Linked DNA regions of Sus scrofa. The protein of the gene in region 1 interacts with the protein of each later gene in a pairwise test. Links are inferred from orthologs where the notes say so. Each region holds a gene or a part of one and is shown in the gene's direction. Other genes may lie near its edges.

Evidence for each region.
Region 2: the proteins of EDC3 (region 1) and ANXA10 interact in binary tests that used the Homo sapiens proteins (3 or more experiments, as listed by UniProt). The link is inferred for Sus scrofa from reciprocal best matches to the Homo sapiens genes EDC3 and ANXA10.

What each region holds. Positions count from the first base shown.
Region 1 is NC_010449.5:58,827,296-58,831,585, forward strand, and holds the start of EDC3 (enhancer of mRNA-decapping protein 3), read left to right. Parts: upstream 1-1,397; 5' UTR 1,398-1,564; intron 1,565-4,290. UniProt on the Homo sapiens protein: Binds single-stranded RNA. Involved in the process of mRNA degradation and in the positive regulation of mRNA decapping. May play a role in spermiogenesis and oogenesis.
Region 2 is NC_010456.5:21,263,109-21,266,925, reverse strand, and holds part of ANXA10 (annexin A10), read left to right. Parts: intron 1-987; coding exon 988-1,101; intron 1,102-2,533; coding exon 2,534-2,624; intron 2,625-2,739; coding exon 2,740-2,819; intron 2,820-3,817.

The sequences.
Region 1 (4,290 bases):
GGTGGGGATGGGGGTAGGGAAGCACAGGAGAATTAACTACTCTTACTGGCTGACATTAAGCCCAAAATGAGCTGGAGCTGATAAACTCTGAAGATAAACAACAAAGGGAATTTTTCGTTTCCTTTAACTCACCACTGGGATCTACTTATTGCACCCCACAGCTGAAAATGATCAAAGATGAGGTCCCTGTCACTAGGCGCAAGCCCCGCCCCTAAGTCTTCTGCCCAGCTATTAGCGTAAGAGGAACTGGAGGAGTTTTTAATTAAGACTAAGAAAGATAGGAATTCCCGTCGTGGCTCAGTGGTTAACGAATCCGACTAGGAACCATGCGGTTGTGGGTTCGGTCCCTGCCCTCGCTCAGTGGGTTAAGGATCCGGCGTTGCCCTGAGCTGTGGTGTGGGTTGCAGACACGGCTCGGATCCCGCGTTGCTGTCTCTGGCATAGGCTGGTGGCTACAGTTCTGATTCGACCCCTAGCCTGGGAACCTCCATATGCCGCGGGAGCGGCCCAAGAAATAGCAAAAAGGGAGTTCCCGTCGTGGCGCAGTGGTTAACGAATCCGACTAGGAACCATGAGGTTGCGGGTTCGGTCCCTGCCCTTGCTCAGTGGGTTAACGATTCGGCGTTGCCGTGAGCTGTGGTGTAGGTGGCAGACGCGGCTCGGATCCCGCATTGCTGTGGCTCTGGCGTAGGCCGGCAGCTACAGCTCCGATTCAACCCCTAGCCTGGGAACCTCCATATGCCGCGGGAGCGGCCCAAGAAAGAGCAACAACAACAACAACAAAAGACAAAAAAAAAAAAAAAAAAAAAAAAGGATAAGAAAGATAGGAGTTCCCCTTGTGGCTCGGCGATAAGGAACCCGACCAGTACCCATGAGTAAGCGGGTTTGATTCCTGGCCTCGCTCAGTGGGTTAAGGAGGGTTAAGGATCTTACGTTGCCCTGGGCTGTGATGTAGGTCGCAGACAGACACCCACTCGGATCTGGTGTTGCTGTGGCTGTGGCTTAGGCCAGCAGCTACAGCTCCGATTGGACCCCTAGCCTAGGAACTTCCATAGGCAGAAGGTGTGGCAGTAAAACACATACACAACACGCTAAGCAAGATGGACTTCCCATAGGGGCGCAGCGGGTTAAGGATCCATTGCAGCAGCTGTGGCTAGGTCACAGCTGTGGCTGGTATTGATCCCTGGCCTGGGAACTTTCATATGCCCCGAGTGCGGGAGACCCTCTACTCGAAAACAGAATCCACTTGACAGAAGTGGGGCACGCAAAATGGGCTCGCAGGAACGATTCCGGAAAGCCTCAGAGCTGCCGGAGGCCAGGTTCTCTCAAACTCTCAAATTTCCCGGGAGCCCCGCCCCTCAACAGCCAGCTCTTCGGTATCCGAGGCGTCGCGCCGGAAGTGACCTAAGGACGATGGTGAGACGCTGGGCGCTTCCGGCGGCGGAGGCGGCCGCGGCCCGGGCTGTGTAGGTGGGTGGAGGAGCCTATCCGTCTCAGGTCTTCGAGTGCTTCGGAGCCGGCTCCGTGTGGTGTGCGGAGGAGGCGTAGGCCCGGCGGCGTGGAGGTGGGAGCGAAGGGGAGGCGGGTGGCTCTTGGGCGCTCGTGGGAGGAGGCTTCCGGGGTTGCCAGGAGGGTTTGCTTTTAGGTTTCGTGGTTCTAGGCCTTGGACCTTTATAGAGGCGAGCACGAGCTGGGGGCCCATTACTAAGGCTTGCTTTGGGGATGTGGTTTGAGGTGAGAGTCGGAGGGGAGCGGGATTCAGAATAGTCGAGGAATTGTGGGAGGTGTGAGCCATTAGTGGCCTATGCTCTTAGTTTAGTCTTGTTGATGGCTGCTGCAGCCCGTCCACTTAGTGCTCCGTGCCTCAGTTTTCTTTTGCACAGTGGGGTCGGGTGGCAGGGAAGAGCGCGAGTGCCACATAGCTGGAAGACAGAAGTGAACTGGGGTCTGAGAGAGAAGGGTGGCTGAGAAAGTAATGATAGTTGGCTCAGGGCACAGCTTCTGCTGAATCCTAGGGACTTTCCCTTGTTTTTTTTTTTTTTTTTTTTTTTTTATTGCTGTTGCTATAAGTTTGAATTTGTGCTCTTTGTGTGATATTGGTTGATTTGGTCAGCAATTGACTTGTTGAATGGTTCATTTGGCGTGTGGGAGGCGTGGTCCTCACTTGCTTGGCCAGGTGGTTGTCAATAAATCTAGTTCCAGAGCTAGGAGCCCTAACAGTCCTCTCTTGTGGTTACAGATGAAGAACTCGAGGCCTTGAGTGGTTTTTGTTCTCTTTCCTAGCCACAGACTAAATTCAGTTGTCTGTGGTCTGTCAAATACAGGTCTTAATCTCATCAAAACAAATGTCTCTGACAGGTTACTATTTCAGCTGGAAACCTCAGGTGGATTCTAGTCTTTATTATGAATGGAAGATTAAGTATATTGAGCACAAAATTGATACTTTTTTGTTTTCTCTGTGTGAAGTGGATATGGTTACAAATACAAAGAACATAACTTTTTGACTGCTGAGAATTTTTGAGTGGAGCTTTCCTGAGGCTGTAGGGCTATGGGACTAGCATAGTGTCTCTCAAACTTTTTTCACCTGTGATCCACAGTTAATGTATTTTACATAGTGACTCTCTGTGATCCCCTCATGCATAGAGTGTGTACACACAAACAAAAGTTTACTCTTTCTACATATGATGCCCTCTGACATTTTCTATTTCATTAAAATAAAAAAAAGTTGATTGTAGCCACTAAATTGACTCTGACAGCTAATGAATCTGCCTGCTAAAGACCTGTAGTTTGAAACACATTGGGCTAGAAAATGTTTAAGATCTTTGTGATTCCTGAGATTCTCTAATGCAAGGTGAAAAAGTGTATCATTTTTCTGTTCTTAACCACAGGATCAGGGTTGCTAGAATTCTTCAGCCAGAACAACAGGACAGAACATCCATATTTGGTGTCCCAAAGGAGCACAGTATCCATAGTGATAGTGTGTCAGAATTTTGGCAAGGCATTTAAGTCTTTTACAATGACCTGGTGGGTGAGATGGGGTATTTGCCAGATTGTGATAAATAGATGAAGTCATGTCTCTAAGCATCTGTGTCTGGAGGGATTTGATTTACACAACTTACAGCTGGGATTTTGGTGATTGGCATTGAGGCTCTTTCACTCTCTTTATACACAGTGTGTATTTGAAGCCTTATCTGGAGGGTGTGCTTATCAAATTTGTTGCCTTTTTGACGTGAAGAGAGAAAGTATTAGCTGGTTAATCTCAAGATTTGCCCAGTGTAGTTTAATGAAATGGGAGGGTCATCATAAATTTAAGTAGATAAATATTTAATTTTAAATAATTTATGTTGTAATTTCTCACAGGTAGTAAATATTGGCTTTTTAAAAATAGAATTTCCCACCTATAATAGACATTTGGTGTTTTAAAAATATGCAAATAGGAGTTCCCGTCATGGCGCAGTGGTTAACGAATCTGACTAGGAGCCATGAGGTTGCGGGTTTGATCCCTGGCCTTGCTCAGTGGGTTAAGGATCCGGCGTTACCATGAGCTGTGGTGTGGGTCACAGACGCGGCTCGGATCCCACGTTGCTATGGCTCTGGCGTAGGCCAGAGGCTACGGGTCTGATTAGACCCCTAGCCTGGGAACCTCCATATGCCGTGGGAGCGGCCCTAGAAAAGGCAAAAAAGGACAAAAAAAAATGCAAATAACCTTTTTTATATTAAAAAACTCATGGAGTTCCCGTCGTGGCGCAGTGGTTAACGAATCCAACTAGGAACCATGAGGTTGCGGGTTCGGTCCCTGCCCTTGCTCAGTGGGTTAAGGATACGGAGTTGCTCTGAGCTGTGGTGTAGGTTGCAAATGGGGCTTGGATCCCGTGTTGCTGTGGCTCTGGCGTAGGCCGGCAGCTACAGCTCCGATTAGACCCCTAGCCTGGGAACCTCCATATGCCGTGGAAGCAGCCCAAGAAATGGCAAAAAGACAAAAAAAAATAAAAATAAAAATAAAATAAAAAACTCTTAAGGTAGGGATATGTATGAATGGTGTATTATATATAATACTTGATTTTCAGATGTTAAGCCAATCTGTGTTCCTAGAATGAATCCCATTGAGTCATGATGTAGAATACTTTGTATGTATATGTTGCCAAATTCAGTTTGCTCATCTTTTGATAAGAATTTTTTACCCACATTCATGAGGGATATTGGTCTAATATTTCCTTATGTTGTCTCTGGCTCACCTTAGTATCAGAGTAAAAGTACCCTCATACAATGAGTTGGGAAATGTTCCTCTTC
Region 2 (3,817 bases), on another chromosome or scaffold:
GCAAAAATTCAGTAGATTCTCCATGTTACCAATTATCACCTTTTGGGTGAATGCTTCTATTTGCTAAAAAAGGAAAACCACAGTATAGGAAAGGCTGTCAGATTATGCTGAATAAAAGGAAAATTATGATGATTTTGTTTTTATTGTCATAAAGGTTATTATGCCATCTTGAATATTATTGAACTACCTCAGAACTAAAAGACTGCATGTTTTTAAATTAAACTGAATATACACTATGCACTTTAGGAAGAAATGGTCAATTTTAACCATCTTTCAGATATCTTTGTAATACTACAAATAATAAATTTAGCATATATATTTTTAAACCTCTCCTCAATACAGGTAAAGTGAAAGTCAAATTAAAATGATCAATTTGATGCTTTTATATCTGTATTCATGGACAAAAATCCAGCCTGCTTGTTTTTCTTTTTAAGCATTTAACTTCCAATATGTTCAGTAAATGTGTTAACGTGACTATTTGAAGAAAGTTCTAAGACTACTTGATTACATTTATAAGAACTTTTTGGCATCAGTGGATCTAGGGACTCTGCTAAAAGACATTGCTACAGTGATGAAATTTTTTAAATGCATATTTTCTTTCAAAACTAATGTTTTATTAAGTCTATACAGGAAAACTAGGCATTCCCAGCTGAAATGCTTTCAGGTTTCCACTTGTACTTATTTCTATAATTCAGTCAGGAGAGGGTCATGCTGGGACTGGGGAAGGGTTATTGGTCTGTGTTCATATGACCACAGTCCATACAGGTGACGTCTCAGGCAGAGATGTGAGCACATGGGTCATTTTCAGAACCTTAAATCTGTCATCTCACATCATCCATGTATACAAGTGTGGACCCAACCCAGACCAGTCATTATGTGAAATGACGTAGAGAAGGACATCCTACTAGACGTCTTTCTGTGATGATCCCATTTCTCTCGCAAAATTGCTAAGCAATGTCATGAAAAGATTTGCTTTTCCCTCCACAGGACCTGGTCAGTGACCTGAAGGAGAAGCTTTCAGATCACTTCAAAGATGTCATGGTTGGCCTCATGTACCCGCCGCCTTCGTACGACGCTCACGAGCTCTGGCACGCCATGAAGGTAGAGGTCAGATATGGAAATGTACCTGAACAGGTGCAGCCAGAGTTTCGCTGGAGCAGGCCCTGCTCTGTGATGGGGGAGGGAGGGGGCATCTGAGCAAAGAGGAGACAAAGGAAATGCTGCAGTGTGGGGTTAGGGGTGTCAGGAAAGGGGGGCTCCAGAGCCCAGCCCCAGGATCATCCAGTTCTTGTGTGAACTCAGACCCCCGGACCCAGCTCTGTGCCACCTGACCCAGCTCTGTGCCAAGCTGCCTGAAGGAAGAGTAAATAAATTTCCAGGGCTATTTGAGTTTCCTCTCCCCAGGGCATCTTCACAGATGAGGAGAAATATTACACACGGGTGACTCTCTTTAAATTATTGTATGCATTGGGCTCATCAAGTAAAGAGTATTACTGAGTCTGAGACTAAATACAGATGACATCTTAGTCTATTTTTGTGACCCCAAGCTAGTTCTTTACAAACGCTATTGCTCAAATGTAGCAACATTTTACCTCTGAAGGATTAGAACAATTCTTTCTTATAGAAAAGTCATTTCCATGAGATAAACGGTCTCCAGATTTGTTTGAGGTTTGCTGCCAGGGATGGGGGACAAATGGCTTTTCACATCTTTCCAAACGCTGATATTAAACACCTGCAGAGCTGCCAAAACCATTCCAGTACGATGCCTGCCAAGGACCAGATTACCACAGTCTGGGAACAATGTGTGAGGAGAAAAAAGGAAAGGGAAAAAAAGTAGGGAAGCTGGATTTGGGCCAGCATATTTGTAGCTTAGAATAGGCACTGTATAAAAGTCATAGGAATATCAACTAAAAAGTTGCCTATGTCAGCTCCTACCTCTTGCAAAACTATCAGGAGAGAGTCTTAATTTACTGTTTAGATGAAACCATTCTATTTTATCAACGTCTCATAGAAGAGTAAGGATTTCTGAAGCGTTCTTAAAAAGATGTGTTGTCTTTAAAAAATCACCATCAGAGAAGACTACATGCCTATGACTGTAAGAAAACCAACGAAAGCACCCTGTCCAGATGTTTAGGCAAGTGGTACAAAATTCCACATCTGGGCAGAGGCAGGGAGAGGTCTCTGAACGATCTTTGGCAGATTAGAGACCAAGATCAAATTTCAGTTTGCCCAAGAATGGATATTCTGGCAGAAAAAAAAAAAATTAGCATTGTGAGTATGGTTTAAACATCTTTCCCCCATCATTTAGAAATGCCCATGCTGCTTTATTCCATGAAGGAACAGACTTTCAGATAATATTACCTTTGGGGCCAAACAACTAGTAAATAGCAGAGCCAGACTGAATGGGGCTGCCTTTATCCCAAACACACTTCATGCCCTCTGCCACCTCTCAGAACACCGGGAGGCTACACAGATAACATCTGCTGTTATCCCACACAGATGCCCTGATGTTCTTCTTGCTCTGTCTGTCTAGGGAGCAGGCACTGATGAGAACTGCCTCATTGATATATTAGCTTCAAGAACAAACGGAGAAATTTTCCAGATGCGAGAAGCTTACTATTTGCGTAAGGAAATACACTTTCTACTTGTGATGGGGAAGTGGCAGTAACTTATTGGAATGGTTCTCTATACGTGGCTCTGTAATAAACTGTCCCTCAAGGTGGTCATTCTCTTACCCAGAATACAGCCGTGATCTTCAAGAGGACATTTATGCGGAGACCTCAGGGCACTTCAGAGACATGCTTGTGAACTTGGTCCAGGTATGAAATTCCAAAATTCACACCATCTTGCACTGTGAAAAAAATAGGGATGTTTCATTTTCAAAAAACAGGACAGAAAAACTCCAGTTTAACAGTAAATTCTGTACAATAACAATGACTGTATTCCAGCTAAATTGTCGAAGCATGGGTTGGATATACAGACATCTCTGCCCTCAAAACCATCTCCTATAAGTAAAATGATTACGTTATAGATAAGTGCATAGATAATTATACAGTATGATGGAGTAAACAGAGTAAAAGTATTATAGTTACAATTAATAGCGTGAAAAATATCACCTAAGGCCCCAAGAACCCAGGACCCCACACTGTAGGTGAACAGTCAGAATCACAGACAAACGTATAAGACTTATGACTTAGGAGAATCTGACTTATTAAAAATAAAACCTAGTTTCTCCTTTTTATCATCTCTTTATTTCTCTAATTCCATTTCTCCTTGAGTTTCTATGGATCATATCAATCAGACACATGTTCATCATCTGCCAAGTGGTATAGGAAACAAAATTAAAAATCACAGATTTCTATTTGTAAAAAGAAAACCAAGAATTTGCCTTATTTTTGACTTGGGTTTGATGTGGTTTAGTCTGGATTAGCATGGTGTGTCTGCATTGCTCATAAACCTGCCCATAGCTGGAATCAAGCCCTTTTCTGAGGCTTCTAGTCACTGGGTTTTAACATCAGTGGAAAGCAGATAGTTTGGTTTTACACAGTTCAGTTTGAGACCTCTGTGTAAACTGCTGTAGAAATAAGCTTATTTAGATTTGTAACAGAAGTTGGAGTCATTATAGGAAAAAAGATTTTAATAATCATTATTAATATTAAAAATAATCTTACTTGGCAACATGTCAATTGAATATTCTCTAATTTTAATGTCATAAGATAAATTAAAACTTTCAAATTAGGAGGGTAATCACCTTTCAGTTCTCTAGTCATGATGCTGCATAATGTCAATTAAAACAATTTTCCAGCCAGAAATTCAT